Linked DNA regions of Drosophila melanogaster. The protein of the gene in region 2 interacts with the protein of the main gene of each other region in a pairwise test. Each region holds a gene or a part of one and is shown on either strand. Other genes may lie near its edges.

The links.
Region 1: the proteins of Ssl2 (region 2) and Creld interact in a two-hybrid assay, tested with the Drosophila melanogaster proteins (one large-scale study listed by BioGRID).
Region 3: the proteins of Ssl2 (region 2) and mRpL28 interact in a two-hybrid assay, tested with the Drosophila melanogaster proteins (one large-scale study listed by BioGRID).

What each region holds. Positions count from the first base shown.
Region 1 is NT_033779.5:100,401-104,793, reverse strand, and holds Creld (cysteine rich with EGF like domains), read right to left. Parts: upstream 2,415-4,393; 5' UTR 2,336-2,414; coding exon 1,888-2,335; intron 1,789-1,887; coding exon 1,360-1,788; intron 1,279-1,359; coding exon 1,031-1,278; 3' UTR 917-1,030; coding exon of another isoform or gene 858-916; 3' UTR 652-857; downstream 1-651. Other genes in the region: Nhe1 (Na[+]/H[+] hydrogen exchanger 1), read left to right, coding at 1-321; Zir (Zizimin-related), read right to left, coding at 2,876-2,918, 3,175-3,545, 3,600-3,778, 3,852-4,032, 4,091-4,222, 4,278-4,393.
Region 2 is NT_033777.3:29,030,451-29,034,711, forward strand, and holds Ssl2 (strictosidine synthase-like 2), read right to left. Parts: upstream 2,193-4,261; 5' UTR 2,084-2,192; coding exon 1,968-2,083; exon of another isoform or gene 1,908-1,967; coding exon 1,699-1,907; exon of another isoform or gene 1,644-1,698; coding exon 1,355-1,643; exon of another isoform or gene 1,297-1,354; coding exon 666-1,296; 3' UTR 501-665; downstream 1-500. Other genes in the region: beta4GalNAcTB (beta1,4-N-acetylgalactosaminyltransferase B), read right to left, coding at 2,498-3,469; Cpsf100 (cleavage and polyadenylation specificity factor 100), read left to right, coding at 4,213-4,261.
Region 3 is NT_033779.5:4,972,251-4,975,870, reverse strand, and holds mRpL28 (mitochondrial ribosomal protein L28), read right to left. Parts: upstream 1,896-3,620; 5' UTR 1,735-1,895; coding exon 1,714-1,734; intron 1,595-1,713; coding exon 771-1,594; intron 719-770; coding exon 655-718; 3' UTR 555-654; downstream 1-554. Other genes in the region: Gmd (GDP-mannose 4,6-dehydratase), read left to right, coding at 1-292; CG14043 (uncharacterized protein), read right to left, coding at 2,257-3,620.

The DNA.
Region 1 (4,393 bases), on a different chromosome or scaffold from region 2:
TCAAAATCTATTTCCCTATCGAAAACTCGCGAATGGGGCCAGGCAATCGACTCTGAACACTTGTCTGAACTCACCGAGGAAGAGGACGTCACCTTTACTCAAGCGCGCGATCGTTTTGGGCGCATGGATCGCAAGTACTTTATTCCGTTTTTTACACGTCGGTTCAATAGTCAGGAATTGCACGAGTGCAAGTCACAGATGGCCGACCTGACTAACAAGTGGTACCAAGCCATTCGAGTGAGTCCATTGGATTCAGATGAATCGGACGAAGAGATAGGACTAGCGGCCAGCACAAGTCAAATTCATTTGACACGGTCGTAGGGATTAAATGGCTGTTGTGGGGGGAGCTCTGTATCCGTTTCGGACTGTGTTGGATAACTTTAGAAGCCAAAGGGAACGATCGTATGTAATGCTTAAGTTCCTCTAGTTAATATTTTTAGAGTTTTTATTTATATAGCGCGGTGATGGTTGTTATCTTGTGTATATTTTTTGTTTACAAATTTTCATTTTGTAAGATCCAAATGCAATGATTCATTCGTATCACTGTAGCTCCTTTATTAATCCGCTTAAAGCAGTATTACATTGCACACGACAGATGGTCTTCAAAATGAAAATTTGGACGTCACAAAAGCACACTACGTCAGTAATTTTAGTTAAAAATATTTATTCATACGAATATATGCTGTATTTGTGATTTTATACATTTTTGAAACCAAATAAATATCTAAGTGTGGTACGTGTAAAAAAATATGGTCATGCCCTGCTTTTTGAAATTCTAATTTATAATTACATATCAATTGATAATATTACCTATTAAAGTAAAATTGGCTACAAAAGGTGTGCGTTTTTGGTTACTTTTACAATTCTTCGTGCGTGGACTCTTCACCGAGCACCGTGGAGTTTGAATCACTGCGGACTGCAAACGAAGTACAAAAATCGTTAGATGTCTTGGGGGAATGTTAAAAGATTATGCTTTTCAAAACGCTCGTGTATATCATAAAAGGAAAGCAATGTTGACATGTCTTTTGACTTATAAAGACTTCATTATTAGTTCCTCCAACTGTTTTGTATCTATTTCGGGTTGGTGGCCGCCTCCTGCCTCCGAGTTGATCCAGTACTCGGAAACAGCAATGTACCCTGCCACTGCCGCCCCAACAATGCAACCCCAGGCAATATGAGTAGAGCTCTGGAAGATGACACAGGTGGCCACGCACATTCCGAAGTAGGTGAGCATTCGCGTAAAGCTTACGTAGTTGCTGCGTTGCTCCGCAGAAATATCTTAAATGATCGGAGGCGCAATACATACAGTGGACAATGCGTTGCTTAAAAGCAAATTTATTAAATTTCTGTCTTACTTACCATGACACTTTCCTTCCTTCAACTCATAGCCATCCGCACACTTCCTGCACATGTCAGGGCCATCACCATCGCATCCATCGCAAGATCGATCACACTCCAGGCAACTAAAGGAGCCCTCATTGTTCACGCAGAACTGCTGTGGTCGGCAAGGGTTTGGACGCTGTTGCTCCAAGCACTCATTAATGTCGACACATCCTGCCTCCGAGTCCATGCTCCAGCCCTTCTTACACTTGCGGCAGCTCTTGGGACCACCTCCCGTGCAGCCTCCTTCCCCACAGGCCGCATGGCACTGTGTACACAGCAATTTCTTTTCGTCACGGAATGATTCGTAGTGCTCCGGTCCACATTCGTTGCAGTTTGGACCCGCATAGCCGGGATCACATTTGCACTTTCCGTTACCCTTTCTAGTTCCGTCTCCTTTGCATTTTCCTGAAATTTGTCATGTGGGTAAAATTAACGAAGACGGCAATCTTAAGTTGACACACTTATGTAAGTTGTGGCCTGTAATACTTGGTTATCATTACTTACCATTTCCATTGCACTCGGTGCAGGTCAGGCAGTCTGGTCCGTAGGTGTTCAGCGGACAGCAGACTGTTAGCTGATCGATGCAAAGCCATGACTGCAGGTCGGGACTCTCTGTTTGTTTGTGGATAAACCAGTCCTCGAGAAGCGCCTCGTGCTCGTTAGCCAGGTTGTGGCAGTGATCCTTGTTTATCACTTCTCCTTCCGAACATAGCTTCTCCTGGATCTCCACTAGCCGTACCTCGCTGTTCTTGTACGAACGCAACTTTTCCTCCTCCCATGCCGTGTCCCCGCCCGCGTGTCCGCGTTTTGTCCTTTCGAGTCCTGCCCTGAAAGAGCTAACAAGCTGGGTACATGCCCTGCAGGGCGGCGGAACAGGCTTTTCGGGAGAATATGACGCCGAAGCAGCGGCTATGAATACTAGCGTTGCGAGCCAACAATACTTGATTCTCATTTTTATTTATTTATTGTCTTTTTAACCGGCAAACTATCTGAGTTTACGTGTAATTAAAGCCGACACTATCGATAAATAAAAACATCGATAGTATACTCGAAAGTTTCGCGAATACCGATAGGTCGCGTTCGATACCATTGCCTCACGGAGCTCACTCTTAGTCAATCTAACAACCGTTAACGACCCATGCGAAATTCGAGGATTATCATTTTCGAATACTTCCCTTTTCTGGTAATCGACAATTAAATTTTGTTGCTGTAGGATACGATTTGTTTCACTCACTTTAACTGCACCTCCTTGTAGCTTGAAACATGTTGCTTTAACTATTTTCGTAAAAGTAAAAAAGTGTAAACTTTATTTTTTTCGCTTTTTAATATTTTGCTTAATCTATTAGATGCATAAAAAAGTTATGCTATTACATTAGCAATTATAGAGATCGATAATTTAAAATGTAAGATTTACTTAAAATAATCCGATACGCTAGACATGAAAGACCAAAAGTATGATAATTTGATTGCAGACTAAGTCGTGTGCAAGAAGTTACCATTTCAAAGGAGTACTTTTGTTGTTGTACGCGTTGGCCCTATTGGATGTATTTAGAAAAGAAATAAAAAATTATATAAGTTAATGTTTACTTTTTGCACTGGTGGTTTTTAATATAGTCATATAGTAAAGTAATATCTATATTAGGCTGGATTCTATAAATATCTAATTAAGCATCTTATGTCTATTATTTAGAGCACTCCGTTGAGGAACAAAATAAGAAAGACATGAGAATTTTAATACATATGTATACACAATGTAACTTTCCTTTTCACTGTATAACAATAAAAACTTACTTGACAACGCCATGATTCTGAACTGATGTAAGAGTAATAAAGGGAGTCAATCGTTCAATGAACCGATCGTTGTTACGTTCCAGTTCTCGTTGGTAATCTTTTTGATCTGAAAGTATTAGATTGCGATTCTTTTTCAAAGCATCAGCACAACGCTTTGAAAACTCGCGAAAGCACAACCGAAGTTTGTTTTGGTGTTTTGTCGGTACAGTTGTTCCGTCGGATAAATTGGAAAGGAACACACTCGCCATTTCCATCGGTCCTTGGTTAACAGTGGTTCCAATACATCCCTGCAGTACCATTTGCAATATTTTGGGGTCTGCTGGCTCTTGATTCGTGGCAGCTGCCAATTCCAATGTTTTTTTTTGAATATCCTAGGCAATAACGTTTAATTTTATTAACTTTTGGGATTTTACAACATAACTTACTTCAATTGCCACTTCAATCGGTTCCAGGACTATTTGCTGTCGGCTAATTACCATAATGCGAGTTTTTACGTATGGAAAGTGATTCGCCGTGGTCAAAATCGTTTTCCGTTTACACTGCTCATTTAGTTCGCCATGTGCCTTTCCATTTTTAGTAAAAGGCGTGGCATATATAAAACGTTCTGCATAAACCAAAAATGTTAAAATTATAATTTTAAATTTCGATTTAAATTATCTGTTTAATTCATATCATACTTATATTGAAATTCCGCTCAAAGTATGTCTCACGATGACGCATTTCATATGTTTCAAAGTAGGGTTCAACATAAGTAATTTGAATGTAAGCCTTATCGGGATCCAAGCTATTAATATCAACGGTATTGGAATCTTTAATGATATGCACAGAGTCCGGTCCGAATCGTTCAGTGTAAAAGTTCTAACGTATGTTGAAACAAAATTGATTAGTTCTATTTTTTCCAATTTGCAATATATACCTGAAGCCGACTAAATATTTCGGGCAACTTCGTCAATGTTGGCTCTTTATAAATGAATTCCTGCTGATCCAAGTCCCCAAATTTTCCGCCATAGAAGCCAACACGAAAGTATGTTCCAAAAACTCTCTTACCCTGTTTATAAATATGTATATATTTTCCGTTGGTAAAATTTACACAATATTGTTACCTGTAGTTGGGATATTCGATTAAATGCCTCCTGCAATTTGCCATGAACTTTGCTTAGCTTTTGAAAATCTCTGTTAGCCTCGCATATGGGTATTAGAATTTTGTACACTTCGTTCA
Region 2 (4,261 bases):
ATTGGTATTACCATTTTTGCTGGCAATATCACTCGATTACCTTTTTCGATTAGAACTTGTGTTGATACATTGGACGCTGACACATATATTTATACATAAAATCTAATCTGTGCAAGTGTATGAGTGTGTCAGTCTTAATGTGTGCGTGTTTGTTAGTAATGTTTTAAATTATATTATGTAGACTTAAACGCAAGGCTTTTGAGCCCTTGCTCGTTGCCACATTCCGCAATCGATATCAAATGTGAAACGAAACGACCGCATGTAGTTAAATATAATAGTACATTAGCTAGACAAAATAGCCAACTAACTATGTTCTGACGTATTTTTTACAAAGCATATTTAATTCACTTTCACGCATGAGTTCTTATTGTAATTCTACGCAAATCCAATTACTAAGACACGAAATTGTACAGACATATATAGTTTTATTTATCTTTTATTTTAACGTCATGTATTTTTGTTTATTCAAAATAAAGGTTTGTTCCTTGAGTTTTAATTTTATTAATAAAATACAAAATATTAATGTGATTTGATAGTTTCATGGTGCAATAAACTAATTAAAAACAATGCTTGACAGGTTCTTTAAATAAGGTGGCATTCAAATAATAATAAATTATAATGGTAAATATCACATTGAATCCATAGTACTGACTTTACTAATCCCTTTAATTTCCTTTTACGGACTTCAATCCCTCTTCGGGCAATTTTACTTTGGCAACATAGTGATTGAAAGGCGATCCCAGATATAAGTGACCCTTAACTTCCAGCACGTGGGATATGCCCGAAGCTGATCTGTCAAACCCATGCAGGGATCTCACAATGTTTCCATTCCAATCCACACGCACCACAGTGCTACGCTTGGGAGCGTTCCTGATGACCAAATCGTTAAAGGAGTGAAAAAGACGAGCCGCAATGTCATTTGGATATATATGGTTCAGAACTCGAAGGGGAAGTCGCATTAGAGCCACCAAACGAGCCAAAAAAGATCTAAGCCTCGGATAGGGCGCCAACACGGCGAACAAATTGGGATTCTGACTATCTGAAGCCACAGACAGGGGCACCCAGATTCCCTCTTCATCCGCAGTGAGGTTATCCGGGCAGCCGGGCAAACCCTCCACAAACACTTCGCTTTCACCGGCTCTTGATCCTTTGAGATAATATCTCCTCAGCCGCATGGCCGTTGTTTCGGCAAGGATAATGAAATCCTCACTGGGACTTAAGGCCAAGCCGTTGGCAAAGGACAACTCATCGAGCAGTACCTCGTTTGTCTTCTTTACGCGATCGTACCTGAAAAGTCTGAGGAAAGCCAATAAACCCTTCTTATATGGTAGATCTCTCCTTAGTTCGAACTCACCGACCCGACGGGTTGGCGAACGCAGCAAAGACAAAGTCCTCTGAAAAGGAATCCGTCCAGAATATGTCACCCTGGCGGCTAATTACCAGCGAATTGAACAGCTTAGCCCGACGGTTTGCACCCTTGCCAGGAAGGATCTGCTCCGCCGGCACCAGCACAGTCTTCTTCTTCGTTTCCAAGTCGACTTGCCATATGCCGTAGTATGCATCGGATACAATAAGATTGTTTCCCTGGGTGTCCAGGGCTAAACCCACTGGATAGCCGCACAACTCATCGTCAAATATATAATCTACGGTGAATATCAAGGGCATTATGGATACAAGTTGCCCCTACTCCTTTGTTACCACAAGGTTGCCCTATTTTTGTGATAGGTTGAACCGACTCCTCATTGTTTAGTCGAATAACCTCGCCGCTGTGAATTCCTGTGTAAATCTTGTCCTCGAGTACTATGAGGCACTCGGGTCCAAATATTTGATCTTTCCACAACTTCCGGGCGCCATTTAAGTGATTGTTCAGCTCCAGCGTTCCATTCAGATCTCTAGCTGGCTTTATACTGGGAAACGCACGTATATAGATTATATGGCTTGATAGCAACTGAAGAAAAACAACTTACAAATACTGTTCGAAGGGGAAAGTGGTGCTAGGATATAAGACAGGTAGCAGAAACAAGGACCCCAGGAATAGGACCAAAAACAGGCTGGTTTTAAGCAATGCAGCAAGAAAACCCATTATTATTGACTGCGGTAACAAAGTTCAATTGTCAAGGTATTGTCATAATGATTAGTTTGATTTCGAATTGGTCGATATATATGTACCCTGCTGATTGGAGCTTTTAAAGTTAATCAACAAACCATTAGATTAAATTCAATACATTTTTATTGGCAGAGGCAGAGCGTGCTTAACATGTCGATATCCGCTTAATCTGAGGCTTCTGCATTGTACTTCAATTACAGCTTTGACTCCTCCATTCCCGTCTAGCTTCTTAGCCTAGTGAGTGAGATATCACGATCGATTCGGAACGCATTGTCTAAGGCGGTAACTAATCGGTTGCGAAGCGAAGTGCAGCCAAGTATAAAACACTTCGAGATACCGACTACGAAAACGATTGGCCTACAAGCTAAATACAATAACAAATACTGGCACTCAGGTATCAACCAGGATGTGCGTGAACAAACTGTGCATTCGCCGCTCCATTTCCGTGTACACCAGTGAGTTGAGTCCATCCGCGTGCTGGCGCAGAGTCGCCGATCTCAGCAGTGCCACGCGATTGGCATTCGGCTGCTCCTGTTTGTGCTTCAGCATGGTGTACTTACTGAACTCCATTGCGAATCGGCAAATGTCGATATTCAGGGCCTGCAGGCGCTCGTAGAGGTCATCGTCCTCTCCGCCCCAGCCGTAATACAGATTGGACATGCCGTTGATCTGCTGGTACTGGGCGGTGTTGATGGCCACCACGCCGCCGAAAAGACCGCGGTAAGGCAGTCGGAATCGCCAGTGATCCAGGGCAGAGCTCATGTGCCGTGGACGTTCGGAGCAGGCATATATTTGACCCGAATTCAGTGGCAGGAGGTCCACGTCATGAAGGATGAGGCAGGGAAATCCATACTCCGCAGCCACCTGGGCGCCAATGTTGAAGAGCATCGCCCTGTTAAACGGCTTATGATCGAACTGTTCGACCAGGAAAATCCGATAGTGGATCAGCTGCTGCGGCAGGTAATTGTGCATGTACGTGAGGAAGGCGTGCAGCTGCTCCTCCCGCTGCCTGTACGGCACAATGATGGCGGTGCTGTAGCGAGCCTGACATCCTTCCGGACGGAACTCGCCGCCAGGACGGATCTCCGCGCCCCTCTGCACCGCGTCATGGTAATGGGCCAGGTGGTAGACGAACCGGTTTTCGGCAATGATCTCCGAGTAGGTGCATTCGAAAACTTCCTGCTGGGAGACATTTCTGGTCACCTGCGGCACCAGAGCCCCCTCGATCTTTGATTCCTCGATGTAGTCGTAGTGCGATGCGAACCGGAAGGGCAGACACAGGTACACGATGAGAGTGATCAGTCCGATGGCGATGAGAAGATCATATTTATGGAAGCTGCGGACCCAGAGCCGCACGAACATTGTTGGCAGGAAAAGTTGACTCAGTGCGATCTTTGGAAACTCCGCATCCTAATTTCGGACGCAATCTTCGCGGCCGGTTGGCGAATAACAGCTGACGACCAGGGACGCAACGCATAAACCAACAGACAGTGAAACTTCACCAGCTCGAATTGTTTTTTTTTTGGTTTATTTTCTCACATAATATTCATTAATTTTTTAAATGGTTTTTACGAACAACTAAAGTCTACTAACCAAAAAGAAAATGTTTATGAAATCAATTTTTAGGATGCCTTTAATACAAAATAGCATAAGAAGTTGTTTTTATAAAAAGTATGCAACCGATTGGGCATCCATGGTTCTTTAAAACGGCATGACTCTACCCCACCCTTATTAATTAAACAATAATTTGATAAAAAGTTGTGTTTACTTATACTAGATTGTTGAGACTTCTATTGATAAGGATGCATAGTTATAAATGTTGACTCATTAAAGAGAAGGTAATTGAACTGAAGAAGGTTGTAGCCATATGTATGTATGGTTAATACATGAGAGACATAATCAAAGTTTTTAATTTATAACATTTAAAATGTCAATCTTTGTTTATTATCGGGTTGTACTGTTCGCTCAACAAGTACGTACTGTATAAACAAAGCAACAGCACTCTGGCAACGCCGTGACAGTTTCCCATCCCTGAACCGGCGAAGAACTCTTGGTTTCCTTTTACAATTTCTTAAACAAATGCACCGGTGGTTTAATTGGCAAAAATGACCTCCATTATCAAGCTGCACACTATATCTGGGGCGATGGACGAGT
Region 3 (3,620 bases), on a different chromosome or scaffold from region 2:
CGAAACGCACAGTGTGCGCGAATTCGTGGAAGCCGCGTTCAAGCATATTGATCGAGAGATAACGTGGAAGGGCAAGGGTGTGGACGAGGTGGGAGTGGAGAACGGCACGGGTATTGTGCGCGTCCGCATAAATCCAAAGTATTTTCGGCCGACGGAGGTCGATCTGCTGCAAGGCGACGCGTCCAAAGCCAATCGAGAGCTAAACTGGACGCCTAAAGTTACCTTCGTGGAATTGGTTAGCGACATGATGAAGGCTGACATCGAATTAATGAGGAAAAATCCAATCGCTTAAGGCCTACCTGGCTTCCAGCTCGGACTGGGATCATTTACGGCACAAAGCTCTCTGCCCGCTTGCGGAGCTATACACTAACCATAGTCTAAGCGTAAAGTGATCAGCGTAGTTGATTTGTCAATGTATTTCTGTATTCTCGTGGGGATTTGCAATCATTCCTTTTTCTACTTTGCCGCGTACGTTCATGTTCAGTGTGTGATTCTACTTGTTTTTATACAGTACCAGATGTAACGAATATTTGAAATAAAGACGTTCGAGTAACAACGTTTTAATACCTTCAAATTGTAACGAAATGTTTCCGAAGTTATGTTTATTCGTTCGAGGCTAAACACATAAATCAAAAACAAACGCGGACAGCTTTTCTAGGTTTCTTTCTTGCCGAAAGGATTGATTTTAGACAGCCAACTGGAAGAGGGGGAGGATTCCCTGGAATAAATCATTGGTTAGGAAATTCATTACAGAAGTATTTGTGACTTACAGCTTTGTAAGCGCTTCGATATCCGAATCCTTGTGTTCGACCGACGATTCTGCTGCTAATGCATCCGGCTTCTCCAGCTTTCCCGCTTCGCTGATCCCCGCCTGGCGCAGCTGCTCGATAAGCTTTCCGCGGAACTCCAACTTATGCGGCACCACCTTTTCCGCTTCGCGCAGCTGCTTTTGCAGCTTGCGTATGGCCTCCAAATAGGTATGGCCGTACCAATCGATTTCCTCGGGCGTATATGGTTCCAGATAGCGGCGGTATTCCTTAAGCACTTCCTGTTGGCGTTCGGGCTCGTCGGCGAGGGCTGGAACACCGTTCTGCAGGGCCTGAAGCACCTCTCGCTTGAGTTTCAGAGCCAAAGCGGAGCGAAGATCGCAGGCACGATTCTTGAGGAGGTAGTGATCAAAGCCATGACATTCATGGATCTGCTCCAGCGTGCGTTCCGTCACCACCACGGACATGTAGCAGTCCAGCACATGACTATGGACCACCGAACGCCTAAGATTTGGTACCCAAAAGTGCGGCACGCGACGCTTTGTTTGCTCGCGTTTCTGAAAGCCCTTGATCACGGCCTCGCCACCCCAGATGCCACGGTGCGATTCCGGCGTATCGATCAATGGCAGCGGGATGTTCTGCACCGGCTTGATGGCGTGCGTCACCTCATCTCGTTCCCACTGCTGCTCCTTGGGGATATAATGGACCGCAGCCGGGGTCGTCAGCTTCCACTCGCGCCAGAACTTCCTGTACGCCTCGGGCAGCTGGGCTCCCAGACCCTTGTCAAAGCGACCCGGACGCTTCCATCCGTTTAATAGCTTTACGCCCTGCAGAAGGTTTAAACGCTTTGTTATTCCATGGGGTTTACGAAAGTTAACGCAGCTATTGCGTCACAGAAACGCGGCGCACTACCAGTTTCCTCTTTATTTTTGAGGCAATCACATACCTGTGGCGTGGCGTGTGCCATTTTTTAAGGAACGAACTAGCAGTTTACTGTTATTATTCACTATTAAAACTATAGTGGCAGTTTAAACTTGGCTATTAAACTATATTTTCCCTGATTTTGGCTAGGCCAACGGCGCTCTTCCTCTTCCTGTTTGGAAAAAACAGCTGTTCGTATGTGAATGGCTGGCAGCCAGGGTTGCCAGGTTTGAAAAGTATTTCGGAGACAGAGCTTCGTTCAATTTAGTTTTGTGAAATTTAGAAATGCTCGGCAAAAAATTGAGTTTCGAAGTAGTTCAACTTATTTATTATAATCAATATATGAAACAGTGCGCCAAGCCATACTCCGGCATAAGTACCATTCACGAGTAGCAAGAAATAAATTTATGCTGTCGGCAATTAAAATCGAAAAGCGGCTTACTTTCGCTATCAGAATGTAACATGTAAGTTACTAATGTATTAACAATTAAATATCCTTGAAAGAAACGCGATTTATTTTGACTACGTATAAAGCTTTTAGCAAATGCAATTAATTTTTTGGAAATTCTCACGCGGTTAGCCCAGCCTTGTTCAACCTGGCCTTAATCGTGTTTATCTTGAGCGGCAACAGCTGGAGCATTTCACGCACAACACCAATCTCGCCCTGCAGCGTCTCGGCCGCCTCCTTGTGCAGCTGGCAACCAGCATCGAATCTCTGGTAGTAGGTGTGGCAACTAGTTAGGTGCTCCAGCTGCTGGAGCGGATGGCCACTGATCAGCTTGTAGTAGATGCGACCGATGTGGAAGTGGGCGTAGAGCATGTGGCGTTGCTCCTCCACGTCCATGTTGGGTCGCCATTCCTCGCTGGGCGGTTTGACCAGATAGGATTTGACATAGCTCTCAAAGTGCTTGATGGCCTTCATACAGCTCTGATTGACCTTCTTGATGTCCTCCGGCGCTGGCGTGCTAGTGGCCCGAATGATGTCGAGACGGACATCCATCACGGCAGCATGAGCTGTGCCGGCTCCATACCAGCATTCTCGGCATATCTTCATGTAAAAGATGGGGTCAAGCAGATCCAAAAGATCTTCCAGATACTTGGCGCGACGCTTTTGCATCTTGGCCTGGTTTTCTGGATTCTCCTCGAAGAAGGCAATGTGCTCATACGCTTCGGCGTAATCCTGCATTATCTTTGAATACTCAGTAGCTTCGTTCTCGGCCTTGTAATAGTCCTTGGCTATGTCGAGCCACTCGTTCACAAAATGAAACACCAACTTGGCATCGTCGAAGGTCAGGCAGTATTCACAACTAATACGATTTTCACACGCGGTGAGGTCAAGTCCAGGAAACCGGGACTGTTCCGCCTCGACCAGCCGCATATTGCGCAGAACGATCTCCAGGTTCTTGGCATCCTCGTCATCTTCGTCCCGCATCAGCCGAAGCTTGGATGTGTTCATTAAATACAATCCATATTTGGCCCAACAGCGTGCCACATCGGCGTAGCGATGTTTAAAGGTCTCCGACACGTCCTGGCGCTGCTTCTCGCTCATCTCCGGCTCCAGCATGTGCACCTCATATTCGGCCATGATGAGCGTAGCAGCGGCCAGGTGATGACGGGCCTCCTCGAAGCGCTTCTCTCCAATATAGAACTGTGACAAGGTGGCGGTGTTCAGTGCGAAATCAATGGGATCGTATGTTTTTGACTCAAGCTGTCGATGGAGGGTGCGATGGCAGCACTTGGCCGACTTTTCCGGCTCACCCAAATGCCCGTACATTTGCGCCATGTAAAATGAGACTAGCGTGTACAGGGATTCCAGTTCCTTGGGACCAGCTTCGTGAGATTGTTGTCCCTCCTCCGGAGGATTGAACACATCTTGAATGGCCAGGGGCTTCAGACCACTGGCTTTGAAGTCCTCGTAGATTTTTTCTGCCT